Linked DNA regions of Rhinolophus ferrumequinum. The protein of the gene in region 1 purifies or fractionates together with the protein of each later gene. This does not show direct contact. Links are inferred from orthologs where the notes say so. Each region holds a gene or a part of one and is shown on either strand. Other genes may lie near its edges. The genes, in order: CDH5, CTNND1 and JUP.

Region 1 (10,773 bases):
ACAGTACAAGAAACTTGACATGATGAGATTTTATGCCCTTGAAAGAAAAGTTTTTCCTCACTGAAAGCTCTCAAAATGCCTAGTCCATCTGCCTGTCACTGTGTGTGAAGTTCTACCACTAGAACGATTCTTTTGAATCAGAATGGCTGGTTTTGACACCAGTAACAATTTGACACAGTAGGACAGTTCAGTCACCACTCAGATTAGCTCTAATCTCTCGGAAGGTGACTGAGGATGAACAAGGTTTAGAGGGGAAGGAAGTGGGGCTTGGCGTCATGGGAGGGCAGGCATCCTGTTGTGGGTACCCTAGAAACCTGGGGAGTTATGTGGGTGACGGAAAGCTAGGGAGGGATTGTCTGAGAGAAAGGGTTTTTTGAGGAATTTCAAAGGCATAGACCTGGGTTGGCAAACTATGGCCTGGCCAATTAGCTTTATCACCAGCATGATTTTGTAGAAGGCTGCTTAGGTTTTCTGGACCTCTCAGATGGAAAAATTTAATGGCAGCCTTGGCTGGTTTTGCCCTAAGCCCTGAACCCCAAGGTCAGGCTGGCCTCCTCAGCCTGTGCCCAACGTGGCCCTTCTACCAGTGATATTTGGTCCATGGACCAAGATCTGGGAGAAAATGAGCCATAGCCTTCAATATCGCTTCCACCAGCGTCCCGGCCGTGATCACCACCACCAACTTCCCGTCCGTCGGTATTAACACCATGATCACCACGACCACCACCTTCCTCTTCTCCATCACCATCACCAGCACTATTCTCATCATCACGGCAACAACTGCCCCTTCCTCCTCATCACCGTCACTATCACCGCCACCACCTTCCTCTTCACCATCACCTTCATCGCCACCATTATCATCATCCCCATCGCTGCCACCACCATTGCACCAGCACCGTCACATCCATGATCACTATCACTACCACTGCCAACGTCCCCTTCCTGTCACCGTTATCACCACCACCACCACCGCCACATCTACCACCTCCACCATCTATACCACCATTACCATCCCCTCACAACCATCATCCCCACCCCTACAACCGCCCCAGTACCTGTCACCGTCTTTACTACCGTCACTGCGGCCCGCCTGCTGCAGAGGCCTCGCCTGCTCTGGGCCTGAGCCTTACCTTGCCCACGTAATGGGGCAGGGGCGCGTTTCTCTCTTCATCGATGTGCATCTGGTTCCAAATCCAGTCTCTCTTGTGGCGCCGGAGGGTGGGTAGCATGCTGGGAGTGTCCAGCTGGGCAACGTGAGCACTCGTGGCAGTTGCCACCAGCAGGCACAGGCAGGTGCCCATTGCGGCCAGAAGCATCGGGAGCACATACATCTTCCCAAGAGGCACAGATCTGGGGACAGAGAGGAAACACCGTCAGGGCCTGTTGGTCCCTATGCTGGGGTGTGAGCAGCTCCCAGGGACAAACGAGCCCCCCTTATCTGTTCATTCCTTTGTCCTTCACCCTCTGCCGATCCTAGCAGGACCAGACTCTGTTCCTGCCCCCAAAGAGCTCCCAGCCTGGGAGGGGAAGACAGGCACAGCAACAATTTGTACTTCATGTCACATGTGCTGGTGTGGAAGCAAGTGCAGGCGAAGGGAGAGCCCAGAGGAGGGCTGCGGAGAAGGCGTCCCGGACGAGAGGGTGATGCTGATGGTAGCTCCCGAAACCTTGTGCGGTGGGCACCCAGTTATCCTTATTTTACACGTAAGAAAACCCACACACAGAGAGGTGCAGTTCAGCTTGGAGCAAGTGGTGGGGCTGACAATGGATCCCAAGAGTCTGACTTCAGCGGCTAACATTTATCGAGCACTTATCAAGTGCCTGACACTGTTCCAAGCACTTAATGGGTTGTCTCACTTTAATCCTCCCAATCACCCTCAAGGTGGGTATAATTGTATCCCTCATTTTGCAGATGAGCGGAGGAACAGAGAGGTTTAGGAACATTTCTGAGATCACTCAGACTGTAGGCAGCCGTGCCAAGATTTGAAGGAAGTCTGTCTGGTCCAAAAGTTCATGGTTTTTCTTACTGCTCTCTCTTTTCCCAGCAGCTGCTATGACATGGGATTTCAAGGCTCCTCTAAATAAACATGTCCTTTGGCCAGCTTTGGAGCCCATGTAGCAGTGTGGCTTTGATGCTGTCTTCAGACGGCTCTTAGGAAACCCAAGTGTGTTAACCCAGAGGGTCAGACCTCACCCCCAGAATTCATGGGAGATTATCAGTTCAGGAGCTGTCAACAGAGCAGGGGTGGGTGGTGTGGGGGTTGAGAGGCTGGGCTTACAGTAGCTTCATCATTTTCAGGGCCCACTGCAAAATTTAAATGTGCGGTCCCATGTTCAAAAGTTATTAAGAATTTCAAGATAGCGACAGAAGAACATGAAAGCAGGCATGGGGGCCTTTTAAGCACAGGGTCCCTTGTGGTTGCCCAGGTCCATGCCTTTCAAGGCAGCCTTCGGGACATGGGATCAGCCCAGATTGGGATCTGGGTTCCCCATCGATGGGGGCCTAGCGTCCTCCTGAATTCCAGGGAGAGGGATTTTCCCCACTGCCCCACAGTGGGTGGAGGCTCTGACCTTGGCTGTCACTGTGCCCTCAGCCCTGACCCCTTCAGTCCACCCCTGCTGGGTCCCTGTGTCACTGACCTGTGGCGTGTGGGATGGTTCAAGGGAAGGAGGCAGGTGGTGGGAGTGGGACCAGCGCTCCTGCCTGGAGAGACGAGGACTCACAGGGTGCTGCTGGAAGGAGGCCCACTCCCTCCCTGACTGTCCCCTGCTTTGGCCCAGGGGAGAGGCTGGACTCTGCACATCACAGGAGGTTTCCAAACTCTAGTCACATTTCTTCTGTGACACTGGCGCCAGGCTGGCCTCAGTGAGGGCCGAGGGTGTCTGTCTGTGCTGGGCCAGCCTGTTCTCTGGGTCTGCTGATCTTAGCATCCGAGGTTCCCATCCTGTGTCCCCTGCCACTGGCCCAGGAGGAAGTGGGCTCCTGGGTTGGGGTGGAGCAGAGCAGGCCCCAAAATACAAGTACCATGTGCCTCCAAGGTCCTCCTGCCTCCGCCTCTCACTTTCCTCAGTCACAAATGAGGCGACAGACTTGGGAGAGATCCAGTTCCCTTTGAGGTGGGTGTGGCAAGGGCAGCCATTCCAGGCGCGAGGCAGGGAGTGAACAAAGCCACGGGGAGGTTGGGAGTCCTGGCCAGGAAGCTGGTTCTGACTTAGGGAAGGCAGCGGGCGTGACCCCTGCCCCAGCCTTGCTGGGCCCGAGCCTGGTGGGTCATTTCCTTTTTTGCTTAGAAAGGAACTGCAAGTCTTAGTTCTTTCTTCCTCCCTCAAATGAGAAGTGACTCGAAAATGAGAAAATGAAACAAACAGAAGTGAACCTGAGAGAGAGAGAGAGAGAGAGAGAGAGAGAGGTACTTTTCAGGCTTCTGAGCAGGACAGGGTGTGAACCCTGATGGGTATTGAGCACCTACTGTATGCTGGGCCCCATGCTAGGCATTGGGGTACAGCAGTGAGCAAGACAGACAAGAACCACCCTCAGGGAGTGCACACTGTAGTGGGAACACCGGGAAAATAAGTAAATGAGGAAAAACATCAGCTAGTGATCAGAGGGTCCCAGGGAATTACAATGGGGGACACAACAGAGACCGAGGGAGCAGCTGGTTGAGATGGAGAGGCCAGGAAAGGCCTCTCATAGAGATGACAGCATCTGAGTGTTAGTCCTAGAAACGCCAGGGGAAGGAAGGGAATTCTAGGCAGAAGGACCAGCAAGTGCAAAGGCCCTGAGGTAGAAAAATGGTTAGTGTGTTTGAAGAAGCAAAGGAGGTCCCTGGGTCAGATACAAATGAACAATGAGGGAGGGCAGATCACAAGAAGAGGTGGCCAGGTCAGTGTGGTAGGCTGCATGGTGCCACCCACACAGATGTCCACATCCTCCTCCCAAGAACCTGTACGTGGCAGATATGATTACGTTAAGGATCGTGAGATAGAGAGATTATCCTGGATCATGTGGGTAGACAAAATGTAATCAAAGGTTTTTAAAAGGTGAAGGAGGGTCAGAATCAGGAAAAAGGAGATGTGACAATGGAAACAGTGGTTGGAGTGATGCAGGATCATAGGCCAAGGAATGAGGGTGGCCTCTAGAAACCAGAAAAGGCAAGGAAATGGATTCCCCCCTAGAGTTTGTAGAAGGAACACAGCCCTGACTTTAGCTCACTGAAACCTGTTTCAGACTTCCGACCTCCAGAACTACAAGGTAACAAATAAATACATTTGTATTGTCTCAAGCCACTGTGTTTGGGGAGGTTTGTTACAGCAGCTGTAGGCAACTAATGCAGTCTAATTGTGCAGTCAGCTGTGGGGAGGGGGCTGGCTGGGCGAGGGGTGACCCGTCACTGTCATACAGGAGAGAGTTGATGGTGGTCCAGCCCAGGTTTAGGAGGGGATGGCCACGGGGACTATTTTTGGGGTACAGTTAACAGGACTCACTGGTGAAGGGGAAGTGGGGGCGAGGGATGGGAAAGAATGAGGGAGGGCTCCCAGTCTCTGGCCTGAGCAGTGGGGGGACAGCAGGGTCTTTCCTGAGATTCAGAAGCCGGGGCTGTGGCGTGTTGGTGGGGAGGAAACCAACAGTTCTGTGCGGACTGTGTCAGGTTGCAGTTACCTATGAGAGGTCTCTGTGGTCATGGCCAGCAGCTGCTGGAGACCCGCCTGGAGTCTGGGGGAGCTTGCAGTTACCGTCTGGTCACTGTGTCTGGTCACTGTGTCTGGACGGTGTTCAAACTGCGAGGGTGGAACAGTAAGGAGAGCAGGTAGCTGGAGAAGAGAAGTGACCCCAGGACAGCACCCCCGGTTTTGCCTCTTTCTCTGTCTGGTGAACTTGTCCTTCAGAGTTGAGGACAAGTCCTCTGGGGACCGTCCCTGGTCCCTGCGTCACAGCCCTGCTTTCCCGACGTCCTCCACTGGACTGACATCCAGGCCCCAGGGCAGGGCTCAAGTCAGAGCTTCCTCTGCTTCCTGGAGACCATCTTTCCCTCTCACCCCAGCTATGTCTCCCCTACTCAAGGCTCAGCCACATGTCACACGTGGATCGTTGCTCTCTGGGCCCACTCAGTGCGGGGTGGTGGCTATGACGGCAGCCTCTGTAGTTTGCAGAACCTCCGTTGCATTGCTTTGTTGCTAAGCGACTGTGCACAAGACACTTCAGCCCTCTGAGCCTGTTTCATCCTTGGTGCAGTGGGAACACCAGCATCTACCTCTCAGGGTTGTCTTCAGGTTGAATTAGAAAATGTTTGTGACGTGGACAATAAGCAGTAGCTAAAAATGGAACCAAAGGTGTGTGGATTCTCACTGCCACTGGGTCTGCTCCCTCGGGGACTCTACTTACCCTTCTTGTTCCTTCACACCCCATCACTTGGTGGAGGGATTTGCAGGTCCCCTCCTGCCAGATCCAGTCCTCCCACGCCTCCCCTGACCTCTGCTCTGTGTCGAGGGGCTGACCCCTGGGCTTTCTGGCCCTGGCTTCTGGTGTTTGGCCAATAGGCGCTCCAGCAGGAGCTCTCAGGATGGGAGGAGAAAGCGGGATTAGTTCTTCCCTTTGGCTCTTTGTGCTGGTTCATACCATTTGCTGTGGCTGACAGCTCCTGGTGGGCGGGAAGCCCCTCCAGGGTCCTGGCCCTGACTGGGTTCTGGAAACAACCCTCCCTCCTCTGTGCCTTTGGCTCTGGGTGGTAACGGCTTCCACTGTTGCTGGTGTCCACGTGCCTCAGTGTCCCCCTTGTTCCCTTAGCTGAGCTCCCGGCTCTGTAAGTAATCCCTCCGAGCCCCCAGAGTAAATACTGTTTCCTGTCAGGACCTGTCTGCCCCAGTGAAGAGGAGCACAGCTTTCTCTTGGGGGGGCCTGCTTGGATGAGCTCGACGTCCCAGGGCTGACAGCATCCATCAGCCAAACAAATATGTAACCATGCTGGACTTAAATAAATCCGAGGCCACCTGTCACAGGCTCCGGCCACATGGCACACAGGGGACAGTAACCCCTCAAGGGGCTTTGTCTGGCCCCACATATAAAGTATGATCTGAATGTGCACATCCATTCTGTGTCCAGCAGAGGCTCTGCGGTGGGCCCTGGAGAGAACTCCCTTGGCACACAGAACTGGGACTGCCCTCCAGAGCCACCCCACCACACCAGTGTGTCACTTGCTGGGGGGAGGGGGCGGGGGGAGGTCTGCATGCTCAGCTGTCTTGTCAGTGGCAGTTAGTGAGGAGGCAGGACCTTGGAGATGAGGACCTTTGGGAGACGAAGCTCACAAAATCCCATCGCCAGCCCCCATCCCGGACCCTCAAGGGCTCTTCCAAGACAGCACTTTTTGGCCGTGGGTGGTGGATGGGGGCTGACGTTCCTGAGTATCTCCTCAGTGGCCCACATTGTCTCATTTAAACCTTGCAAACTATAAGGTAGTTGTCAGTAATCCCATTTAGCAGGTGAGGCTCAGAGAGGTGGAGTGAGTCATCGTAGGCCACACAGCAAGAGGCGGAGCCAGGATTTGAACTTAGGCTGCCTTTCACCCCACATAGTGCTTTTTCCATCATGTGCCCCTCTCTGTGGTGACATTCATGTGCAGTAATAATAATAAACTGTTCTCCATGCTGGGCTTTCATAGCTACCATCTCATTCAGTTTTCACATTATCCCCCGGAGGTAGGAATTATCAGCTCCATTTCACAGAGGAAGAAACTGAGGCTCAAGACAAACAACTCAGAAGGGTTAGACCTGGGACTCCCCACTACCTCTCAGATCTATCTTTTTCTAAATCCCACGCTCCTTCTACATCCAATCTCAGCGGGACCTTAGGGTCTTTTCCATCTGAAAAACTACATTTTATTTGTGTTATTTTGCCTTTTGTGTTAGAAATTTGGCCACCAAAATGGGGGCCAAGAGGAATGGTTTTGTCTAACAATTATTTCACCTCCAACTGCTGTAGAGGGAGAGGAAGTCAGGCAAGAGGATTTGCTGTACCCACAGCTGGCAGCAGCATTTCCCGTGGCTACATCTCTGGAGGTGTAGTCAGAGCCACAGCGGGGTCAGACTTATTTCAGCCCTTTACCGCCCTACAAATAGGAGTCACGTCTCTTGGTTGCTGTCACCAAGTTTTCAGAGGTCAAGGTGCTGCTGGGTGGCTTTGGGTGTGACAGATGTGCAGAGGGTCAGATTTCTGTGCTCAGAAATTCCCAGCTGAGCAGCCAGCCCTGGCAACTTGCCCAACAACTGCCTCGAGGGGAGATGGGATTTGCTCTTTGGGCAGCTCAGATGTGCGTGCCACGCACGCATTGACCAGGTGCCTGTCTGTGTCCCTGTCATCTAGGATTGTGACAATGCCCGTCCCTGGAGCCATGTTGGAGACTTTTGGGGGCAACTCCAAATGGACTCATGGATGAGGTGGGCCAGCTGGCGAACCTGAAGGGGTTGTGCCCTTGGTCAATCTGGGAAAGTCTGGGGGACCCACAATGAGAAGACAGAGTGTGGCCCAGAGACCCTGGTGAGCGGGCATGGAGCCCAGAACAAGGGGCAGAGGAGCCTGGGAGGACCTGGGGAGTGGTTGGGCTCACCCACGCCTGGATGGCAGGTTGGGGCCTTGGAGACGCCCCGGATCCGGGTCTGTGTCCACAGTGAGTGGGACCACTGAGGTCGGAACCTAGACGCCAGGCTTGGTCACATCCTCTCCACCTTTGTATTGCCGTTCTCTCTCCTCTGCCTGGATTTAGTCCCATGTCATCACTTTTCTGAAACCCTCTCTAGGGCCCTGGGGTTACACAGTCATTCAACAAACATAGTGCACCAACTATGTGGCCGGCACAGAATGAACACACCTGGGGAACAAACACAGGCTGCATCCCGGTGGGGGAGATGGACAATAACCTCTTGATAAAAAATAGACCTTCAGACTGTGATGGAGGAGTGCAGGAAGCGGTGAGAAGGCGGGGTGGGGGCGGCCCAGATTGGTCTGAGGGTCTCACTCCAGGAGTGAGTCCTGCCTGTCTCTGTCCCCCTGTGGGATCAGGCAAAACTCCCTTTGCTCTCTTTCTTTTTGTGGCCCCCATGTGTCCTTGAGATTTAGCCTGGAAGGGGCTGTGAGGTCTGCTCAGCTCTGTGTTCTTTAAAAGGAGAGTCTAGGGGGATACAGGGGGCACAAAGGGAGGGGCTGGAACTGCTCCATTTGTAGCTAAATCGACTCTGGGAAGCCTGGACCCAGCTGGGAACTGCTCAGTGGGGCAGCCTGGCAGATGCCCCTAGGCTGGTCCTGCCCCTGACCACTGGGCCGACCCCTGCTCCTTGACCTGACCAGGACCCTGCTCAAGCCTGAGGTTTTAGGGGCTAAGTTCAGGCTTTTGGGGGGGGGGTATTGAGAAGGCTGGAGGGCCCTTGGGGGTGGGGCAGAGGAAGCCTCCAGGTCAGAGATACATGCATGACATCTACAGACACACCACACAGACACACCACCCTCCACTGTGCCTTCACAAGTATACACCCCTGTCCCCAGGCATCTGCCCACGCCAATTCCTGAAGAGTCTCTGCTCTGTGGGTCTGGCCCCTCTGTTCCCACCCAGCACACCCACCATCAGCTGGGACAAGACCTGGCAGCTGAGCCCAACCCTAAGCAAAGCTTCAGAGAGTGGACGGGACGCTCAGTTCCAGCCCAGCCTCCTGCAGGCTCTGGACTCCGGCCCAGAGGCCCTGGGTCAGGGATGAGGGGCTGGGCCCAGAGCACGCAAGAGGTGTGTCTGTAGGAGGGGACGAGCTGGGCCCCTGCTCCCTGTGTGGCCCTGAGCAGCTCTCTGCACTGCCCTCCCATGCCATCCCCCCACACACCTCAGTTCAGGGCTGAGGTTGTAGCTCCTGATCCCCAAACTCCGTCAGGAACTCCCCAATTGTCTGTTCAAACCCCAGCATTTACAGCTGGGCCTTGGCAACTACAGACACCGTGTGAATGAAGGGTGAGGCCTTGGGAGCCTTGGGGATGGGGTGTGCTGGGGGTGGGACTGGGCAGCCTACAAGCTGGCCCCTTGGGACTTTCTCCTGGTTCGTAGCTCAGTTTGGCTCAGGGACCTGCTCCTGTGGGTCCCAGACCTGATCCCCTTCCCTCAGGGTTCTACCAACAGCCCCGTCTTAACTCTGCTGAGAGCTGACCACCCTGCTCCCTTGCTGACTGCCGTCCCTGGCTCCTCACCTCCAGCAGGATGAAGCTGGTTCCTGAGCCAGCACGGCGTGTCCCCTGCCCACGACTCTGGCTCTCCTCTCCCCCACCTCCTTGCCATTTCCAGTCATGAGGAGAAGTAGGTGTTTCTGGGATGCACAGGTCTTCCTCTCTCTAGGCTTTTTGCACAGGCTGTTTCCTCTGGATGACCCTGGATCCCAGAGACCCCAGCATAAATTTGTTTTTAATCGCAAACTAGCTCTAGTGAATTGGTAAGTATCTACCTCAAAGACAGTATTGAAGATTCAGGGGCTGAGTTCAAGTTCAGTGGGAATGAACACTATGGTGGATTAGTGATGTCTGCCATGGGTATGAGAATGGGTGAACGGCCAACGCTGCCTGAATGCCCTTCCTTGCTGTGTCCCCTGGGTGAATGCTTTACTTCTTTTTAAGCCCCGGGCGCCTCCCCCATGAGGTCTTCTGATTGACTCCTGCCCCCAGTACAGCCTGTGCTTCCTGGCCCACGTGCCTCTGAGCAGGCAGGCTCTGGGTCTGTTTCCACTTCATCCAGTATCCAGCTGCATGAACGCAAGGCCCCGGCCCTTGATGGTCAGGTGTTCCCATTGATGCATGTCAGCCTGCCTCAGTCTCCAGTCCTGGTCTTGTCACTCTTCCCTCTTCACTCACAGGATTGAAAACAAACCTGAATTATTTGCAGACAACACCTCGGGTGGTCAGAGTGGGTGCAGTAATTGGTATAACTCAGTGAAGCTCCTCCTTGTTCCCAAATAGCCTCTCTACTGGCCCAGTGTATTGTCATACACACCCCCATTAGGAGATTGGTCCTTTGAGGACAACGAGATTATCCTTCTTATCAGATCCCGATGAACACACACCTGCCTCTGTGCAGGGGACCTCTTACAGGATAGGACTGGTAAAACAGAGGTCATAGGTGGCCACTCACCCATTCCTGTACCCATTCCAGACATCACTAATTCATCACAGTGCTCGTTCCCACTGAACTTGAACTCAGCCCTTGAATCCTCAATACAATCTTTGAAATAGATACTACCGTGTTTCCCCCAAAATAAGACCAGGTCTTATATTAATTTTTGCTCCAAAAGACGCATCAGGGCTTATGTTCAGGAGATGTCATCCTGAAAAATCATGCTAGGGCTTCTTTCCGGTGAGGTCTTATTTTCGGGGGAACACGGTATTCTACTGTAGAATACCAGTTCACCAGAGCTAGTTTACAATTTAAAACAAATTTGTGCTGGGGTCTCTGGGCTCCAGGGTCATCCAGTCTATGCGCCTGTCTCCTAATGGGGCAGCTCTAAGTTTCAAGGAGAAAACACCTGCCCTACAGAGCCTTTTCTAATCTCCTCTGGGCTTCCGTACTTTGGGACTCTGAGGCAGTCCGTGAGGGCAGCAGAATGAGTCCCACCAAGCTGCTTGTTTGAACTTGCTCAGCTGTTTACGAGCTGTGTGGCCTTAGGCTCATCCTTTCCCCTCTCTGAGCCCCAAGCTTCTTCATCAATAATAGCTGCCTCCCTAGTCAGGAGGGAGATCACAGGTATGAAGCCCAG
Region 2 (10,710 bases), on another chromosome or scaffold:
CTTTTGAAGAGAGAGCCCCCCCCTCGGCGCGAAGGTTTCTGGGAATGGAGCGTGGGGATTCCGGAGGCCGGAATTCAGAGTTCACCCTCACCACCAGCTCCAGCCACAGGGGCTTTGCAGTCACCCACTAGGGCCCTCGTCCTGCCGCGGGCCCCGGCACCCTCATGCACGAGGAGATGATGACAGCAAGAGCCGCCTGAGGGCACGCACGCGGCCCTCGCCACAGACCTCGCGCCGCGGCCCTCCCGCACGGTGCGTCGCAGGGCCGACGTGCTTCCTCCTCCCCAGCTCTCGGGCTTACGTCTACCGGAATACGTCATCCCCATTGGCCGAAGGCTCCTGGAAGAGCCAATCACAGGAAGAGGAGCGCTTTGGGCGGGAGGCTGAGAATCGGAGAACTTGGGAGCTGAGGAAAGATGGTCTGGTCACGAGAGGTAGGGGGAAGGGCCTCCTAGGGAGGAATTCGGATGGCAGCCGACTTCTCGCTCAGCACTCGATGAAAACACTGTGAAAAAGAGGGTCAGGATCCTCCAATCAGATAGGCTCCAAGGCTGCTGAAGGATACCTTCCGCTTCTCTTTGAAGAGGCTGCAAATGGCCTCGGCCCTGCCAAGAGGGCTCCAGGCTTAATGGAGAAAAAAGCCCCAGGATGGCTCTCCTCGCACCTTGTCCCCCATAGCTCTAATCTAGATGTCTCCTAAGGCCAGGGATGTTCTGGAACGAGGTCATTGGGCTAGTTTTTGAATTCAGGTTTTTCTCAGATTCCATTCCAGCCCCAAACCTCCGAGAATTGGTGACTGAGGGTGGGAGGTGGGGTTGCAGGACTTCCCGTCTAGAGTGGTCTCTCTTGTCCTTCCAGAGATGGTTTATTTAGCGCACTTCCTGACTGGAAACAGCTGTTTTCAGGGATGATATTAAAAATTAAACGATCTCGAGATTAAACATTTAGTAAGAATCCTAACCCACGTTATCAATCTGGACAGCGGGTCTTTCCCCTGTGTGCGTTAGGCCCCGGGTCCTGGCTTCAGTTAGATTTTGCCTGATGTCCAGCTCTGGATGAAAGTGGCTGAATCCAAAGCCACTGATGACAAAGTGTGATGAAACTGAGCAGTCCCCCGCTGAGGTCAACTGGAGACAGAAAAGGAAGACGCCTAAAAGGGAACCTGGAAAGGGACAAGATGTGGAAGGGTGAGTAGTACAGTGCCCTCAAATATGTCTATTGATATCTAATACTTTTTCAAAAGGATTTGAGGTAGTTGATTGAAATATGGGGCGGAGTGGGGGGCGGAGGGGGGGGCGGCGGGCGGGGAGGAAGTGTCGGGCATTTCCAAGTCAGGTAATATTTCCCCTGGTTTGAGGCCTCTGTTTTTAAGATGGAAAAAGAAACAAGAACAAAAGACATAGTTTGAAGAGGAAGCAGTTCGTGAAAGGACGTAAAACTTACTAGAAGGACAGATTTTTGATACTGTTTGCGTCACACAAAAGCAAGCAAGCAAGCAAAACAAAAAAAAAGACAGAAGGCAGAACAGTGTTTGTTTATGGCATCTGCTACTGTGGAATCAGGATGTGATTAAGTAAGTGGAGTACCAGTACAGTTATAGGTAATTCTGTGGAGTTCTAACAAAAATATAAATAAATATTCTATCGTCTCATGAATATGTTGTTATCAGGATTAGATTAATTTTCAAGAAGTAGAGAGGACTCACTTCTTGGTTGTTTTCTTTTTTAATCCAATATCATTTTAATTAAATCTTGTGTTAGTAGAATTTCTAAAGGGAATGGTAAGTGGCCATTCTACCTATGGCTTCAAAAAAAAAAAACAAATGACACACTTTGGATGGTAATGTGTAGCCACCAGAGGGTAGAAAGGAGTAAGAAGATTTTGTTTTCCTCTGTATGGACAGCCAGTGATTTTTTTTGAGTTGATTTTTAAAAAAATTTCTTCTCACTCCATAACCATAACCAGTCACTCGTGATTTCCTTGTCTCCCAGTCCCTGGAAACCACAGATCTGCTTTCTGTCTCTATGATTTGCTTGTTCTGGATATTTCATATAAATGGAATCATACAATATATTTTTTAAAAATTTTCTTCTCCTAGGTATTTATTGTTTTAGTCTGTTTTGGAAGTAAATTCATCACAGCTCAGCACTCTGCCCTATATAATAATCTTAATATTTCTTTTTTAAACACAATTTTATTTTCCAGCTCTTCCTTAATCTTTCACCATTTAATGGTTTCTTGTTTCTCTTTGTTTGTAAGTGGTGATGACTGTGGATAGGGAAGTTAAACTTTGAGAGTGGTAAAACTAACAACTGAATGTAATATTCAATGCATAATAAACAAAACAAAACAAAAAAGGAAGGAAAAAAAACCCAAACCAAAAGCAGTGCTGTGTCTCTAAACATATCCTCAATCCATTGACCTCTCTCCATTTTTACTGCTGCTACTGTAGTGAACTCCATGTCACTGTCACTTGACCTTCAAACTAATTTCCTTGCTTTCACTTTGTTCCGTCTTTAATCCATTTGTCACATTAGTAGCCAGATCTTTTCAAAATATGAGTTAGATCATGTCATTCTGCTGTTTAAAACTCTCACAGGCTTTTCTCTACCTAATAAAAACTCCTTTCTCTAACCTATGGAAAGAACCCTTCATATTCGGATTCCTGTCTATCCCTCCCTCATTTCCAACAGCTCTGCTGGATTCAGTGTATTTCAGCCCCACACTTGAGAGCTCTGACATTAGTAGTTACCATTGCTCATATCTTCTCATTGTTGGCCACTTCTTATCATTCAGATTTCAACTTAAATGTCACCTCCCCAGAGAGTTTGTCCCTATGTCCAATCTAGAACAAACCATGAGTCATTCTCATCAGTCTGTTTTAAATCTCTGCATAGTCCTCCATCTGAAATCTTATTTATTAAGCTTCTCTGTTCCCCTGCTAGAAAGTAACTTTTTGAGAGCAAGAGACTTGTCTGTCTCATAATTCTTGACATTTACTAGAAGAGTACCTGGCTCACAGTAGGTGCTCAAAATAACCCAAGTGGAACTAGTCTTTTTATTTTCTATTAACTGATTGTAAACAGTTTTCCCCTAATGAATATTAATCCTCGTGATGCTTTATTTGGAGATAGCTGTTTCAGATAAATTTAATTTTTAACAATTTTTCACCACTGAGCTTTCTTTTTTTATTTGTATATGATTTTATTTTTAATGTTATCTACAAATTCATTAATGTTAAATGATTCCTCCAGGATTACATAACTAGTAAGCCAAGAGACTTCATTCACTCATTCATCTGTTGTGAAATATGAGAGATAAGGCTGAGCTGGGTGCACTTAAAATGCAGGCCGGCTTGGACGTACACACATCAGGGGGTGGCTTGGAACGACTCAGTCTGATCTTTCTGGGCAATAGTCCCTCATCCACAGAGGGGTACAAGTTGGTGGGGGAGGGCACCGTAGGACCAAGGACAGGGTCACTCGCACTCTCTTCAGGTCCCTGACTGTGGCTTGACGGTGAAGAGCTTTTTTCCTGTGGAGGTGGGCAGGCTCTGGCCTTCCTCTTGAGCACAAGAGTGTCAGACAAGTTCTCTGCGTTCTGTCGGTTGCACCTCTCCTGGGACGCCTCCTCCCCCGACGACTTCAACCTCACTGCCCCGAGAGGACAGGGAGTCTGGGTAACAGGCAGTGGCGTTCGAGGGCGGCGGCTGGATGCCACCACCCTGGCAGAGATCGGTGCAGCGCTTGGAGGTTGTAAGCACTCCCGGTTCAGTCTTCTGCACTGAGGGGCCTTCACCAACTTCCCACCCTCTAGCTGAAGGGATTCTAGCTCAGATACTCGGAGCTGACGGGCTCATCCTGGGCTTCTTCTCGAGATACTTCCATCTCTGAGGTATACAAGAAATCTACCAGCTCTGGGGATACACTATTACTAGAAAGACACTGTTCATGCCTTCATAGAGCTTATCTTCTGATGGAGGAGACAGGCACACACACACACACGGAAGGCAAAATACTTGCAAGTTGTTAGTGGTGATGTGAGGGAAGCAAGACCAATCCATTTCTAGAAAATCATAGAATTTTTAGAATATGGCTCTGATCTAGGAACCAACCAGTCAACAAACATTTCTTGTACTGATTGTTTTCCTTCGGCAATCATCTTTGGCTTTTGAATTTGTTATGGAGGAGCAGGAATAGATGGAACGTAGAGGTAGAAGATGTGATAAGGAAATACGGGAAGATTCGTAGATAATGAAAGGCTGTTCATTTCTCTGTTGAATGTATTCGTTTCCCATTCTAGTTCATTTAAAGCCCATCAAACAACTGCTGTGATGCCTGTTTGGTCTTCCTGCACTTCTGAGAGAAGTCCTTTTTGGCCACTTTAGACTAATGGAGTCTGTGGGACTATAGACCAAATATGAGGGGGTGGATAATGACTAGATCTGCCTGATTAGAAAATCACATTCATGCTGAGGAGGAGTGGAATTGGAATTCCAGTTTGGATAATAAGGAAAGGTCAGATTATGGTTAATAAGTGTTACTTTAGTATACTGAATGAATAAATGTGGCTCCTTGAAAGCAGATGAGGATCTTAGCCTTTATCCTGATCACAGTGTAAGATGATGGAAAGAACGTGGACTTTGGAGTCAGATTGCTGAGGGCTTTACTTCTTAGCCAGATTTCAGGCAAGTTTCTTACCCTTGCTGAGTGAGCCTTGATTTCCTCATCTGGAAAATGGTGGTCATAGTATTCTATGGTGGTGTTTTAGAAGTTACAGCTAATGAGTGCAAAGTGCCTCTCACGTGATAGATTCTCCATCATTGGTTGCTATTATTGGGCAATGATGAGCCAATGAAACTTTTCTGGGCAGGTTAGATACTGATAATAATAACAGCTCATTCTTAGTGAGTTTGTACTGTGCCATACATTGTTTAAAGAACTTTATGTGTATTTTAATGCTCACAACAGTCCTGTGAGAGAGAGATAGTTATTATCTTCATTTTATAGTTAAGGAAACTGAGGCACATAGAGAAGATATAATTTGTCCAAGGTCACATAGTAAGTGTAGAGAGGAGGAAGGTTTGAAGCCAGGTAGTCTGCCTGCAGAACCTATACTCTTAACCACTATTCTAGATTATGAAAACTTTATGAAGATTCATCAGCAGTCTACAGGATAGATTTTAGATTTTTCAGTAAGATAGGAAAAGGAAAATTTCAATTTATTACCATCATCGTTTAGTAACTACTGAATGACCATAAAATACTAGTCTTTGTTAAGTTTGTAAAAAAAAAAAAAAATCCAGTCTCTGATCTTCATGACCTAACAGTATAGAACATACTAAGATAACTCTTTACTCAGAAGAATACCTGTATAATCCTTAATTTAGGTCAAGTGTAAAAAGAGAATGTATGAACTAGATTATCTTAAACTTGAAGTTCACAATGCAGGCGAATATTCTTGATGTGAGACTGACTTTTCCTTACACATGCTGTTATCGCCTCTAAATGTATTGCTTGTTTATTGGATTCCATTTATCCTTCCCCTCAAACCGATATTATTTTAATTTGGGGCAAAAGGGAAGACAGTGATTGGCCTTAACTGCCCAGTGGATTCAGCTTCCTTCTAGTTGAAAGTATAGACGCTAAGAACTGTTAACAAGTGCAGACCTTTATTTTTTCTAATTAGCTCTAATGCAATTAAACCAAAACAATGAAATTGAGAGTTTACCTCAGATATCTCCTACCATCCCAATCAACACGTAATAATCCTGTTTTTTAGGATTTTTCTCTCCCACCCTTCCTGTCTTCCTTTGGGAGAATGCTTTGGGGTAGAAAGCAACAAACCAAATAGCAGCAGGCATATAAAATCAGCTCTTTTCTCTTTCTCCACCCGGAAGGGAAGGGAGAGGGAGCAAGAACACCACCATCAAAGGGAACTGATTCTTAGGCAGGCCATTCTAAAACTCCCTTGTTCTTCTACCCCCCCGCCCCCACCAGAGCTCTGCAGTAATTCTTCAGAGATTGTATGGTCTCTACTTTAAATATAAATATATATATAAAACTTCCCCCTGTCTGTCTCCTCCTCTCTCTCCTTCCCCCCCATTTCCTATAATAAAGTTTCCTATTGGATAAAATCAGCTCCCTGATTTATGCCTGGCTCCTATTGGAAGTTCTCAGGGGCTGACATCACTTAGGAAAGCGAGGGGGTAGGGCTGCCAGATCAGTTTGTCACCACCCAGGCTCCCTATCCTTTGGCTGGGTGCAACTTCCATTTTAGGTGTTGGAGCTGAGAGAAAAAAAAAAAAGAGGGAGAGAGAGAAAGAAGACCAGGAAAGATCCTGAAAGGAGGAAGAGGCCGTGAAAAATCACCTACCTTGCTGGATTTGTCTTTCTCACCACATTGACGAAGCCTTGGGTTTCTTTCTTAAAGGACTGGTTTTTAGAAGTCCACATCTGAGGTGTGTGCCTTTTTAAAAAATGTGTACAGACGGGTAAAGGAGGATACGCCAAGTCGAATTTTTGTCTTACGGTAACCTGAGGAAATTTAAAGACGAGAGTCTGCTATGTTAATGGGTGACTTTTAAGCAATTATTAATTTATTTTTCTACTTACTTTGGGGAATTGTATTATATTAAAAAAAGGTAAAATATTCAAGACCCAGAAACAAACTTCTAGGTCTCTCTAATAGAGGGCGATGAATAGATTCAGAAGGGTGAGAGCAATTCTGTAAATTTACAATTTGGTGTGTTCTTTGATTTTATATCTTTTTCTGGATTAAGCTAACAAACTTCTGTTTTCAGAGCCTAAACCAAAGGTTGGTTTTTTTTTGGCATGTTGCGTGTGGGTTGGGAAAGGAATTTGTCCGGGTCGGAAGCTAGTTATACATATGGCTCTTCATATGTTTCAAAACTTTTTTTTTCATCTTTTATCATTAGATTTGTGGAAGCGAAAAGTTGCAGGGAGTTTTGTAGCTTAAATGGTGGTGTTCCCCCCCTAGAGTTTGAACGGCCCAGATCGGTTTCAGCCCTGCTGTCCTGGGTGGATCCCTCTTTTACTTTTCCAGGTGTGGTGGGTGGGAGCCTCATCCTCCTGCTAGACGTTGCCTCCCTGCTTTGCCTTATAAGAGAAAACAGATGGATCCATGTTAAATGAATTGTTATCTCCTTTTCTTCTAAAAACTACCTTCGATGGCAAGATGTGTTGTTGGATGTTCAATCTGCAAATATGAAAGTGTTTGGTTTATGTGCTTAAAGGCATAAGGAAATTGTAATCATGCTTTTTAGTTCACCTAAGTGGCAATACACCTGAAAATATTTTCAGCTTTGTGCTCTCTTAAAGGGCCATGGATTAAATAAGGTTAGGCTAAGAGAAAACACTTATATAAACTTTAGTGTTCAGAATGAATTTGAGAAAGCACAAGGGGAGTTCTTATTTTAAAACAAACAGTTCTTTTTTGGAGGTGAGTTTTTTGTTTGCTATAAAATCAAAAATCTGTTAAGAGCTGAAGGCCCATGACTGCTTTCATATTTTACATTTAATCTTAAGATTTGTTTTTGCAAATGCATTCTTGCAAAAATACTGATTCTAGATAATTACATAGCCAACTCATCAGTAGCTGAAAACTGGGTGTTCTCTTCCTTCTCCCTTTGAAAATGCGAATCAGTCTGAAAATTATAGCTGGATTAGATACTGCCCTAATTGTAACAAGATGGGCCTTAATATGTAAACTGCTCATTAGCTTTAAACTGGAATCTACCTATAATCTCTGATTTTGTGCCCCTTCTAAACCCAGTTTTTAGACGAGAACACTTCCTTGAATTTCTTTTCTAGAACTGAGATTATTTCTTGAAAGATGATTTCATACTTGTAAGTTTGTGGCTTCACAGGAAACTAAACTAATATAATCTATGCAAGGGCTACAGTAAGATTTTAATACCTGGATCTCATAATTATAGCAAGTGCAGTTAAAAAGGAAGAAAAAAAGCCAATGTGTACAGTCTGTTGGGTTATAGTTCTTATTTAATATTTTCCAGTTTTTCTTTCAAATGTTCTCTCTGCCTTGACTCCAGCCTAGAGAGGTTTCTTGGTGGATCTTTGAAGGGTTGGTCATGTTGCTGCCAGAGTGTCGGTTTCCTACTCAACCTTTAGGGGGAGGGATGAGGGAATCTGAAGAAGGAGTACAAAGGCAGTTTGAAAATAGGTTCTGGATGACTGAGTGGTGGTGCTTTGGGTCCAGCTTTAAATATTGGGCTTTGTGTAGCCGCAGTAAGTATCCTAGTTAACTATCAGCCAGGACTATTTCCCCGAACTGAGGCATTGTTTTGACTGGTATGTACCATAGAGCCTTTTGCATGATAAGATGGAAGATTGTCTTTTACCTCACCTCTACCAGTTCTTTCAGGAAATATAGTCAGGGATGCGAATAAGTACATCCTTTTATTTTTTTTGTTTCGCTCCTCCTTTTGGTTTTGGGGTAAAAAATGACTAGTAAGTATGAGTTGTGCAGATTTTTCTTTCCTTGTTTGACTCCTGTATACTGTTGGTTTCTTTGTTATATGACTAAGGTATGTACGGTCTGTGTTCCAGGTGGGGGTCTCTTGTGGGTGGTTAGAGTTCTAGTGCCTTTCTTAGGGTTCCAGTTACAGAGAGTCAGAAGGGCTAGAACATGTTCTTTCAGGTAGTATAAAAATTGGTACTATTGGAAATCTTAGGAAAAAAACGAAAAGCTCCAAGTAATTGCAATTCACTTAGGTTTATGAGGTAGCTGCTCCCTAAGGATGGCTGCAAATAAATTAAGCATAGATCACTATTCATTTGGAATAACAAAATGATTAGCTCTGTATAATTTATTGCTTTCTATTTTGATACTTGATGGCCCCGTTACTAACTGCCAGGCCCTCCCCACCTTGTTTTTTTACTGCTTAGCATTTTTTATGCTTAGCCTTTTGCATAAACCATTTATTTAATTTCCCACAACAACTGTTGTTGTTTTTTTTTGTTTGTTTGTTTTAAAGGAATTTGAGCCTCATAGAAGCTGAGGTTTGCTGAAAATCTCATTGCCCATAAGGGACCAAGGCTAGGCTTAAACCCTGGTCTGACTAACTACAAAGTCCACGGACTTAACCACTAATACCCTGCCATTCTCCAGAGAGAATAGAAAAAAGATCCAGAACTAAAATGAGCCCTTGCTAGAGGCCAGAGTGCTTTATCTTGCAGAGGGTCAGTCCTCACTTAGATTTCCAACCCCCTCCCTGTTGGAATAACCTATGTGAAAAATCCATTTTCCATAAAGCCGTGGGGAGCTGGATATGCTAGAACGGATGTTATTTCAATCTTTAGAACAGAGATCTTTCCATATGCACAGCATTGCTGTCCTAATTTCTTAAACTTACTTGAAATGACTCAAACTTAATTTGATTATCAGTGAAATTTCTTCCAGAGAATTTTCAGGCATGATATTGCCAACTTGCAGGGTAGAGGGTTGTAGCAGGTAGAGCAAATAATGTTTATCATACTGTATTAAAATAGTCTAGTTTTGTCTTTCCTTCTAGACTATGAGCTGCTTGAGTATAGGCACTGTCTTATCTCTGTATTCTCTTAGCACCTATGGTAGTGTGTGGTATATACTGAGGTGTTCAGTAAACCTTGGTTAAATAAAAGGCACTTGATGACAACGAGTGAGGCACCTTTGGGAAACGCTGAAGGGAAGTTGAGATAGGAAGCACTACTACATAGATTAATACAATTGCAATGTAATTTTGAAACTTTACTGTAGTCTGTAGTTTCAAACTTTGACGCATCTCCCACCTTTCATTTTTAAGTAAAGTTTCTGGAAATAATGAAGATTTAAATTAAATTTTTTAAAATCCTGTTTCCTTTCTGGGCAAGCAGTCCAAAGAATAGTATAAAAAAGTAAGGGTCCTAGTCAGTTCATTTCATTACATCGGTAGCTGTTAGTTAACTTAAAGCACTGAAACCTGAGTTTAGCCATTTCTAGGGGAGAGGGACTGGTTACCTAGAACATATTAGGGCAGTGGCAGGCAAGTATTGCTTTCAGCCATGTTGGAAGTGATTGGTTTTTATACTTGTTAATACAAACATAAAAAGCTTGGGATGGTAATTTGAACATCAGTGTTTCAACAAAAGTGTGTTTGGATTATCACTGTATTTTTTGTCACTGCTACTGCCATGAAACTTTGGGAGATTTTGTTCACAAAGTGTATTGGGAAGTTTATGAGTTTAAGAACCCAAATTAATTTTCACGGGTAATTCAGAATAATAGTAACAAGAAACTTGCCTGAAGGAATGTATCGCAGGTAATCAGTATGTTATTTCAGGTTCTCTTTCCTCTCAAAAGGGGCTAAATGCCATGAGAAGCTGAAATAGGGAAGGCGCTGCCTAAACGCAGCTGCCTCCCAGGTTTCTTATAGAGAGCACTGAGACAGCCTGGCAGGGAGCTGGTGAGGAGAGGAAAACAACTGTTCTGGTTAGAACAAGGGGGGAATAAAGGTATGCATTGATTTGTCTGTAATGATACTGTATAATATATCTTTAGAAGGAATTTGTCCCTCTAATTCTACTTGGAATATTTAATATTATCTACTTGGAATATTTAATATTATTAAATATTGTTGATTGTTAAATATTAAGCATTCAGAACATGGCCCACACTTATAATTCTGGTTCAGGGACAGTGTTCCCCATTTTC
Region 3 (10,381 bases), on another chromosome or scaffold:
CCAGCGTCCAGACACTTCTGATTATGGTGAACTACTGCTTGAGCAACGTTGACCAAAGTGTCCACTCGTATACATTTTTTTGGCATCCCTTGTGTACTTGATCCTCTGAATCTGTGAAAGAACTCACTAAGGTAAGCCTCAAAGAAGAGGCCAAGAGAACTTGACATTTTCCAATTCGGGTCACCTTTTCCATCTTTCCTTTTAGAAGAAGAACATGATGTTATGTTCCTGGACCAAAGTAAGAGGTGGCCACTGGAAATTCCTTCCTTTTCCCTTGACCATTTGACTAAGTCTTTGTGGCCTTCCTGGAGGAGGAGGTTGGGGAGGAGTTCAGCCAATCTAAGTAGGCAGTCGGGCCTCTCTCCCTAGCCTGGGTGGGTGTGGGGAGCCTCACAGCCATGAAGGACTAACTGTTAATATTTTTTTTTATCTCCAAATGAGGTTAGGCATAGTTACAGAGACGCAGGGACAGGAATGAAGTCAGAAAGTGCTTGTCATCTGACTTTAACCTTTAGCACAATTATTTTGATAACACCGTGTTGTTTTTTTAAATAATACATTGCTATCAAAAATGGAAATGTTCCTGGCTTTCTCCTCCACCCCCACCCCACACACACTGGATGGAGCTGGCTTCTCTCAGCACCCTCACCACAGCCGGGTCCAGCCTTCACCCTCCCCGTTCTCCCTGCCCCTCCCCCTCAGGACTTCCAGGTTCTCTGCTGGAGACATAAATTATCCATGAGCTGTTAAGTTGGCTGCTTGTTGAACTGGAGGCTGAAGTGCTGATGAAATATTCAAGGATCTCAACTCTCAAATTCCCTGGTGGCCACGGGATAGGACTGGGGAAGATGGGATTAGTGTACAACACAAGGGACTCCAAGTCCTGACCCTAGCCCCCACTAAGGTGGGGTTGCAGCCCCACCAGGGAGGTGGAGAGGGCTGGTGAACTGGGGGGAGGGTCTCTGTGTAATCCATGGCTGTGGCTCAGAGGGCTTAGAGGAAGTGAGGGGAGGTTACAGATTTAGAACCCCAAGGAGAGCTGGCCAGCCCAGAGCCCACCCCACCCCTTCCTTAGTCCTGGCTGTCTAATCCTGAGCTTTTCCTGAAGTCATACTTCAAGCTGACTTGCCACAAAATTGATTTTCATCTATCTCTACCCCTACCACTGCATCCCACCTTTGTTGGGATGGAGAGACCTAAATTGGTGGCAATGGTGAGCTGGTGGGCAGAAGACAAAGGTTCAAGTCCCAATCCTGCCAGGAATTTGCTTGTGTGATTTTAGGGAAGTTCATCTGGCTCCAGTCTCAGTTTCCCCTTAGATACAAGGAAGGAGATTCTAATTAGACTGCTCCTTCTTTTTCTTCCTAAGGACTCTGGACAGGTGGGGGAGAAACGAAATTCCTGCGGTGTGTGTGTGTGTGTGTGTGTGTGTGTGTGTACTGGAGCGGGGAAGGGAGGGGTGGCTTCTCTGTGGGAAGGGCACCTGTCAGGGCAGGCAGGCTGGTAGGGTGGGTGGGGCCCTAGCTGTTTTAGCCTGTGTGAAGTCACCCAGGCCAGGAGCCGGAAGGGAGGTGACTCAGGGGGCAAGGCCTCGCCCCCTCCCGTCCCCCACCTAATCACTCAGGACCAGAGGAGGTGTTAAGACAGCCAAGGAGACCCAGGACCAGAATATATTCCTGATGTTTGCTGTTGGATTCCTGAAGTCCTGGAATTTCACCTGAGGGGTGGGGTTGGGGGTGGGCAAGGGAGGGCAACCCCAGGATAGACATTCTCAGGAGAGGTCCTGACCTTCCTCCAGCGGCTCCCCCGACTACCATCACTGGCCCCTGGTATCTCGCCCTGGCCTGTGCTATTTCTGGCTTGTCCTATCTCTGTTTTCTTGTCTCCCTGTTTTCCCTTGACATTCCATCCCCACCCACAGCTTGCAGTGAAGTATTGCTGGAGCTACCTCTATAATTAAGAGGCCTCCCCAGTGGCTGAGCACACACCCAAAGACCCAGCCCCAGGCCCTGGGCAGCCTCTGGCCTCCAGACTCCTGCCCTGGACAAAGGACAGCAAAACAGACAGGAGCACCCCGATACCCCCTCCCAGTGCCTAGCACCATCCTATCTTGTTCCTGCTCCCACACTGGGGGGGGGGTGCTTGGGCCCCCTCCCACCAGAAGAGTTTGGGAGCCAGAGGCTCTTCTGCAGCACCCAACGTCCTCTCCCCTGCTCAAGGATCACCCTGAGCCAGCCTCACCCCACCCCAACACCTGTGGGCAGGGGCAGGCTTGCAAATGGAGGCCCGTATATGTAGATCTAAATAAATTATAGATCAAGCTAACAAACTGTTAAACAAGATACACCTTGACAAGTAGACCTGCACAGTGTCCTGAAGGGCCAGGATGGAATGAGAATTCTGACTCCTCAGAACACGGCAGTGCAGAGATAACTGTCCCCTGGGCCATCTCCCCTTTCCTTTGAGGCCTGGCTGCCCCCACACTGCACAGGGCCTCCAGCACGTGTGTGGACACCCCCGCTCGCATGTCTGTGCTGTGCCCATCTTTCCCTCACAACTGCCCCCTGCCCCCCTTTGCTGGTGCACATACCACCATGCATGGTGCTACTGTTTGTTCTCAGGAGGAAGGACCAGAGTAAGGGCCCTGCAGGCCCTGCAAGGAAGGGTCAGTGCCGGGCAAGGAATTCCAGAGTGCCCGGTACCCGGAGTGTGGTCTCAAAGGGGAAAGGGATGAACTCTGTGTAGGCTGGTACCCTGGCCCCTTGAGGAGGGTCACAACCCCAGGAGGACCAGCCAGGGGCAGGGCGGGGGCTTCCAAGGGCAGGACCCAGGACAGAGGCCCCTCTCCCAGTCTATGGATGGCTCTCTCCCCTGAGGCTGAGAGCAGGCCCAAGCTCACAATGCTTCTTGATTTTTGCATTGCCTTTGAGTCCAGCCTGCCACTGGGACAGACTTCCCGTTGACTGCTCTCCTTTCCTGCTGCAGTGACGCCAGTGAGAGTTGCTGGGTGATGAAAAGAAACCATCGTCAGCTTGAAGTTTAGCAACCCATCTGCTCACCCGGTCTTTCTTGATAGAGGTAGCCATTCCTGAGGCCAGCTTAGGCCCAAGAGGAGGGAAGAAGGGTGTGTGTGGGGGAGGGGTGGGAGAGATTGAGGGTGGGTGTGTTTGCATGTATTGGGAGAGAGCTGACAGGGCTGGCAGTTGTGTGTCTGAATCTGAGCCCATGAGTGGGGAGTGTATACCCCTGAGGCGTGAGCACAGAGGCTGACTGGCTTGTGCAGACCTACATCTCTGCCTGTCTCTGTCTGGGGAAGGGGCCCCCACAGAAAAAGGGCCAAGTTTGAACAGACAGCAGAATCTCTTCTACCTCCTTATATGGCCCAGCTGCTCCTGGAGGATGAAGGGAAGTGAGATGAGGGAGAGGCGCTTGGCTGTTGTTCACCTTCCCCCAAGGAAGTGCCTCTTCATCCTCACCAGCTCCCCTCCCTCCCACCTGCCCCTCATAGGCCTGGACCCCTCTTTGCTAGTAATTTCTGTCTCTGGGGCAGCTTGGTGCCCTTTTCTTCTTTACTCTGAAGCCCCAGAAAGCTGCAAAGTTGAATGGTTGAATGAACCATATATATTCTTGGCAGCTCAGGGACTGCTTCCACTGAGCTCTGGGCAAGAGAAATGGGTTTAAATTGCAGGAATATGAATTGAAGTTAGACATCAGAAGGAACTTACCAGTGTTAGAATAAGGAGACGTGGGTGTTCAAGGGAGGCTGGACAATCTCCTTTTCTGGAGATCTGGCAAACAGAAGTCCCTGCCTTTAAAGGCTTAGAGGCAGGGGACTGGGTAAAATGGCCTTGTGGTTTTTCCTTCAAATTCAAACTACAGAGGAGACTGTGGCCAGAGCAGCTCTCATCCGATCCGATCGTATCCCTAGGCACCTCCTCACCCGGTGAGACTCCATCCCTGAAACAGACAGGTGATTCTAGTAAACATCATTTTCTGATCCCACAGATGAATCTTCAGTGCCTGATAGGCACATAGTAGGCACTTAATAAATGTGTAGAAAAATCTCTTGACCTGGGAGGAGAAACAGAGCTCTTATCCCAGTCTTTCTTGCTGCTGTGGTGGTGCCCCTATCCAGGCCCAGCCAGAGCCTGGGGCCAGCATGTTGTAGCATGCTCCAGGCTGACAGACAGGGAGAATTCTGGGGACACACACACGTATACACACATAGGCTTTATTCTGAAGCCTCTTTTCTGCCCCTCCACCACACCCAGGGTTCTCCACCCATCTGCAGTCAACCAGCCCTACCCTGCCTGTATGCTGAAGTCAGGAGAAAGGAAGGAGTTAAACCAGGCTTGGGTCTGGGAAGTGTGTGTCAGTGTGCCAGGTGGGGGTGGAGAGATGGAAGAAGGAGGAAGTGAAACCCTGGTGGATGGTGGCAGCAGCCTAGGGATTGCTCTTTTCCTCCCATGCTGGGGGCTGGCTACTGTACTGTGTGGCAGCGTGACAAGCAGTTGGGGAGGAAGGTAGGGAGAAAAATACAGAGATAAGCTGGAGGAGGGGCTGTAAGGGAAACAAAGCAAAGGACAGTGGCCCTGGCCTGCGGGATGGCAACTGGTTTGAGATGTTAATATCTCCCTGGTCCCCTCCAGGAAGACTTCTTGATGGCACAAGCCTCAGAAGTGAGACTTAGCTACTGTTCAGCCACTGTTCTTTTTTCTGGTGGGTAAAGTGGTCAAGGATGCTGTTGGGGTACCCAGCCCATCCTGTGTGCTAGCTTTGGGGCTATAAAGCTTTTAGAGGAAAGACCCTTTCTTGAATGACCACTCCCCAACCCCCCACGTCCCCCACCCCCCCCACACACACACACAGAGTGGCTAAGGTGACTTGTTTACACTTAGCCCTTTGGGAGTCCTTTGAGGGTTGGGATCATTTTGACTTTCTGTGTCACCAGGGTCTAACCCAGTGCCTAGCATACAGTTGTGCTCAATACTTAAATGTTGATGAATGAATGTAGGACCTTGGCACGCTGTACAGCCAACAGGAGGCATTAATTCCATCAACCACACAAAGGAGACTTTTGTCTTCTTAACCAATTGGGAAGTTCTTTCTGATAACTAACCCAGACTCTTCCCCTAACGAGAACTAACCCAGACTCTTCCCCTAACGAATGGTGCCTGCTGTCCCATTCCTTTTATGACTGTGTTGATTTCCTTTAGATCTGCTGCCTGATATTTTTCACAAACCCACCAATACTTTCTCTTAAATCATTACTCTTCTGTCTCTACCCAGAATATTTGTTTTTGCCGGTTTCCCAGCCCCTCCCCACTGCTTTGACATTTTATATCTATGCTGTTAGGAGAACATGTGGTTTAGTGGGCCTTGAAATTAGAAGAAAGTTGTTCTAGTTTTGGATGTGCCACTTTCTAGTTTTGTGACCTCTCTGAACTTCAGTTTCCTTATCTTTGAAATAAGGATCATTTTGTGGTCCTAACAATTTTTCAGAATCGTCATGAGAATTAAAAAACCCCGTATCATTTACTTAAATTCTAACATTTAGCAGTTGTCCAAGTGATTTCACAAACCTTACTTCATTTCATCCCCCTACACACCCAGGTTAGAGAGATATAGCTAATGTACCCACTTTCACAGAGGAGAAAAGGAGTGAAAGATGAAGTAACTTGACTAAGATCATACAACTAGTAAGAGGCAGGACCCAAACCCTGTCCTTCTAATTCTAAATCTCATGAGCACTCCCTCCATCTTTGGGTAAGAAACCCCAAACCAGCAAGAAGTCTATGAAATGCTATACAAGTATGTTATTACGACTTTGTGGCAAGGGTGAATAAGCCCAAAGAAGCATCATGCCTGACGCTGAGTTGGCTGGCCAGTGAAGGCATCTGTCCTTTCCCATGGCGCCCTCTGACTCACCTGTTGGACAGGTAGGGGGAAAGGGGAGAGTCAAGAGTCTTACCTGCTCAGAGGTAGGGTGGGGTAAGACATACTCCATCCCTCCCATTAGTTCTTTCCTTAGTCTTACTGACAGTTCCTTGCCCAATCAGGAGAAAGTAACCTTATATTTGCCAATAGGTGCAGAGTTAGGATGGAACCTCAAGTTGGAGGCCGTCCCCAGAGCCGACTGGCAGTCCTTGGGGCCAATGGCTAGCGGATAAACAGAGGCGGCGATGGAAGAGGACTGGGGACGAGGCTCCGCCCCTCGATGGGACAGTCAGGCGAGGCAGCCAGTGAGACCGCTTCAATGGGTGGGCGTCTCCCTCAGGGGCGGAGCCTCGAGGGGGCGAGAGGCGTGGCTTGGCTGTCAGGTTCCTTCGCCTTTTGTTCAGTTACTGAGTTGCTGCCTTGGCCAGAGTCCGGAGCAGCCGCCGCCCGAGCGCACCGAGCTCAGTTCGCTGCCCGCGCCGGCTCTCATCCCGGCCCTACCCCTACCCAGTCCGGCCAGGCTCCACACGCAGGTGCGGACGATCGCGGCAAGTATCGCTGGGGCGAGGGAAAGGCGGCGAGCGGCCGAGAGGCCGATCCTCGCTGTCTCAGGGCAGGTGAAGGAGATAGCCAGGGAGCACCACCCTGCACCGGCGGCAGGGGGCGCGCTGGGGTCCTGGGCGCGGCGACTGAAGGGGCGCGAGGCTCCGGCGGAGTGCACTTGGGACTTGGTGAGCTGGGGATCTGAGAAGGGCGGGGAGAGGTCGGGGCAGGTGCCTCCGGGGTCACGCCTGCCCCGGGGCCCACAGAGCTCGCCCGACGCCGTGTCTCTGACTCTTGCCTGGTTCTCTCGCGGGAGAGACTTTGACCTGCTCCGTCTGCGTCCCAGGGCGCACTCTAGTTAGGAATTTACTGTTTGGGAAACTTGCTGCCGCTGGTCTCTTTGGGGCCACCCTCACCCCACCTCACGCGTCATCCTCGCTTTCCCTCCCTCTCTACTCCCCCAGGCCTGGGTGGGGCCCTATTGTCTGCGCCCGGCTTGCCCAACTGTGGGGGCCGAGCGCACATTTTCCCAGCGACGCGGGCCCCACCTGCTGAGCAGGTGAGCACACGGAGCCCAGAGGCCCTGTCCTCCAGCTCCCGGAGCCTCGTCGGTCCGGTACCTGCGGCGCCACCCTCTGCTCTGGTGGGTGACAGGCTAGGGCTCACCAGCGGAGATGGGATGGGATGACAGTGGGACTGTGCAGGGCCGGCCCCGCGTCCAGCTGACTCCGCGCTCCGCACCCGTGTCCCGGACTGGGGTCTGGGCCGAGGGCTCGTGTTATGGGTGCATGGGTGGCCCAGTTTCTAGTAGCTGTGGCTTCCAGTGTTGATATGGGAACTGGATTACCCTCCCTAACCTCTTATTGTCGGGAAAAAAAATCACCCAAAACAAACTTTACTAAAGGAGGTATTCGCGGCAGCTCTCTCTGGGGGCTTTCCTCTCTCCTTGCCCAGGGCTTACCCCAGGGTTGACGGGGTCCTTCTTGGGGCAAAGCCCCCTCCCCCAGCCCGCCAAGCTGAGCCAGGGCCAGTTCTTGCGCTCTGACCCTGTCCTCCCTGCCCCCACCTCCATCCTGTTTGCTGGGCCCCTCGGCCCAAGGTGGGGGCCGGGATGAGGGGGGTGGGCCAAAAGGGAAGCAGCTTCTTCCTTCTCTTCCTGCCTCCGGGGACCACCACACCCCCTCGCTTCAGGCCTGCGCTTGTGACTCTCTCCCAAGCTCTGCCCCCTCCCCAGGAATGGGGGTGGGGCAGAGCCGGGCCTAATGACGTGGGTGGGGGAAGCGATTGTTCTGGTCCTTTCCCCCCCCCCCCACCCCGTTCTCCACGTTATTTAGCTGGCTGGTAATTGGGGCCGAGAAGCGAGGAGCACTGGGCCTTGATTTCCAGTTGATTTCTGGATTTTGAAGATGCGTTCCTTCTGGAGGCTTTTGCTGTCCTTTCTCCACCTGCCCCCTTTTGAGAGTTTGATGAGGAAAGTGGGACAGAAGGAAGGCTTTTGGGGGGAAGGTTTCAGGCAGAGCTGAATTAGTGCCCCCTCCCCCATTTTCTGAGAGGCCCTTCTCTGGCCAGAGTTCATGATCTTCATCAGGCTTTCAGCACTGGTTTTTAAAAATCTGAAGTGTGATCTTTTTGCAGGGATTTGGAGCCCAGCCTCTCTGGGGAACAGAAGGGGAATGTAGAGCCAGGTTCTCCCTCAGTCCTGGGGTGAAGGGAAGATTGGGGGGAATCAGGGCTGTTTGCCCTGACTCACTTGGGAAGATCCTACTACCTGGTTTGTTTGTAGATGGGAAAGGGGGGGTAGGGGGACCCCCATGGAGTGCCCCACACCCCCAGGGATCAGGCTCCTTCCCCGTCCCTCTTCTGCTCTGGGGGGGGGTGTACTACCTCCGAGGAGCCATAAGGGCATGGAGTTTGAGCAAAAATAACCTGTTTTCCCTCTTGTCTCCCCAAAGTGGAGGAGGGGAAGGCATCCTAATTACGTTGATTAAATGATTCGTTTAGTTAATCTGGTTTGTGGTTGTGATGAAAAGATAACACTGAGGAAGGATTTCTAGGAGGTGCCTGGTGAAAACTGGCTGCCTACTAGATGGGAGGGGGGGGTGTGTGTGGGGGGTGGGGGGGACGGGGGGGGGGCCGGGGGCCGGTAGGATACAATTAGTCAGTTTTTGCTCCATCAAGCCCCAGCTTGGGTGATAGGAGCCCTTTCCACCTGCCCCATCAGCACCCTCCGGCCCCACCCCATTCCCTTTGGAACCTCTGTTTGGGCTGCCAGAGCTGAGGCTCTGAGAATGTCGCCAGGAGGAATGAAGGCGGTCAGGGTGCGGGCTGCTGCCTGCTTGCCTCCTGGGAGCCCGTGGGGGAGATACCCATGAGGAGTCACTCGCTGGCCTGGGAGGGAGGCAGGCAGGCGAGAGCCATCTTAGAATGGGATGGGTCTCATCACCAGCAGGGCTGTTTACCTGAAGAGTTGTTCTGGCGTGGCCGTTCTGAGCACGGGGATTTGGGCTTCCACTGAGCTGGGTTTGAATCATTACCTATGTGGCTTTGGTCAAGTCACTTCACCCCAGTGACCTCCTTGGCAAAATGGGAATAATCCCTACCTACCCAAGAAGTACTTGATAAATGGTAACTTAAGCAACGGAGGACGCTGCAGATAACCAAGCACTTGCATTAACTGTTCTCACTTAATCCTTATGACTGTCCCTAGAGGCAGCTATCATTACCCCATTCTACAGATGAGGAAATTGAAACTCCGGGAGGATAAGTAACTTGCCCAAGTTTGCACAGCCAGACCCAAGCAGGGTCTGGCATTTAGGTCCTCTCGTTCCAAGCCCGGAGCCCAACCTGCTGTATCACCCCACTGTGGCTCTAGGAAGAGTTTTTCTGCCACTCCTTTTTGAGAGCTTCTGCTTGGGAGTTTGGGGAGAAGAGAATTCAGAAGGGCCTGAGAAGGTATGTGTGAGTGGTGAAGGAGGGTGCAGGTTTGTCAGGTAGGGGTGACGCGTCCTAGCCTCCAGTCCTCCGAAACCTCCCCTGGGTTTGGTTTTTAGTTCCTGGGAGAGGGGGCTCTCTCTCCCCAAAACTAGGGACTGTAGCGGATGTGTGGAGGAGTGCGGACAGGAGAGGGCGGGGGTCAAAGCTGCTGCTGCCTCCTGGCTGAGTGGGCAGAACCATGGGTTGTTCTGGGCTTGTCCCTGTATAGGAAGTGGGAGTCACCTGCTCTGCTGGGGGCTGGGCCTCTGCCAAGGGGGGGGGGGGCCTGCTCCCTGGAGAGAGGAGAGAAATGAGAGTCAGATTAAGGACTGGGCTGATGTCCTGCTGGATCGTACCCAGCAGTGCTGCCAGACTGCTCTTGGTGGGGAGGGGAGCTGGCTATCTTCTGTTTGGGAGACTGGGGGCTGGCAGTAGGGGTTTTGTGCTGCTGGGGAGGGCCTTTCTGGTGATGAGTGGGGTCAGCCAGAGCCTTGTTCCTTGAAGGAGGGGCTGGTGTCACTGTCTTCTCAGACCTGCCAGGCTCTGGCACCTCTGCCAACTGAGCATCTGATACCAGAACGGGCCTGGGAAATGGGGGCCGTACCTGAGCCTGTCAGCATTGGGCTTCCGGATCCCTTGCAGGCAGGAAAGGACCCCAAACATCAGGATTATTGGTCCCGGAGAAGAGAAGGCTGAAGAAACTTGACATGACAGAGAAGGGAAAGAGAATGAGCTCAGGGGGCTGTTAGCTATAAAGAAGGTGAGGGGCTTGCTGTTTTCTGTCACCCCTGAGGACATACGAGTTTTTGGGACTGATGCTTTGTGGAAGGAATGGAGGCCACAGGAGGAAGGCCTTGCTCTGTGTTAGAGATGAGATCTTGAGTTGAAGAATAAAAGGGAGAGATGGAAGCTTAGAGGTGACTCTTCT

Evidence for each region.
Region 2: the proteins of CDH5 (region 1) and CTNND1 purify together in Homo sapiens (affinity purification with western blotting; 3 studies listed by BioGRID and IntAct, counting the BioPlex papers as one, with this or other methods). This does not show direct contact. The link is inferred for Rhinolophus ferrumequinum from reciprocal best matches to the Homo sapiens genes CDH5 and CTNND1.
Region 3: the proteins of CDH5 (region 1) and JUP purify together in Homo sapiens (affinity purification with western blotting; 3 studies listed by BioGRID and IntAct, with this or other methods). This does not show direct contact. The link is inferred for Rhinolophus ferrumequinum from reciprocal best matches to the Homo sapiens genes CDH5 and JUP.

What each region holds. Positions count from the first base shown.
Region 1 is NC_046298.1:16,357,701-16,368,473, reverse strand, and holds the start of CDH5 (cadherin-5), read right to left. Parts: upstream 4,733-10,773; 5' UTR 4,684-4,732; coding exon 4,661-4,683; intron 2,895-4,660; exon of another isoform or gene 2,641-2,894; intron 1,351-2,640; coding exon 1,131-1,350; intron 1-1,130. UniProt on the Homo sapiens protein: Cadherins are calcium-dependent cell adhesion proteins. They preferentially interact with themselves in a homophilic manner in connecting cells; cadherins may thus contribute to the sorting of heterogeneous cell types.
Region 2 is NC_046294.1:11,449,146-11,459,855, reverse strand, and holds the start of CTNND1 (catenin delta-1), read left to right. Parts: upstream 1-6,222; 5' UTR 6,223-6,460; intron 6,461-10,710. UniProt on the Homo sapiens protein: Key regulator of cell-cell adhesion that associates with and regulates the cell adhesion properties of both C-, E- and N-cadherins, being critical for their surface stability.
Region 3 is NC_046304.1:37,731,323-37,741,703, reverse strand, and holds the start of JUP (junction plakoglobin), read left to right. Parts: upstream 1-6,294; 5' UTR 6,295-6,470; exon of another isoform or gene 6,471-6,485; intron 6,486-6,524; exon of another isoform or gene 6,525-6,668; intron 6,669-7,103; exon of another isoform or gene 7,104-7,123; intron 7,124-10,381. UniProt on the Homo sapiens protein: Common junctional plaque protein. The membrane-associated plaques are architectural elements in an important strategic position to influence the arrangement and function of both the cytoskeleton and the cells within the tissue.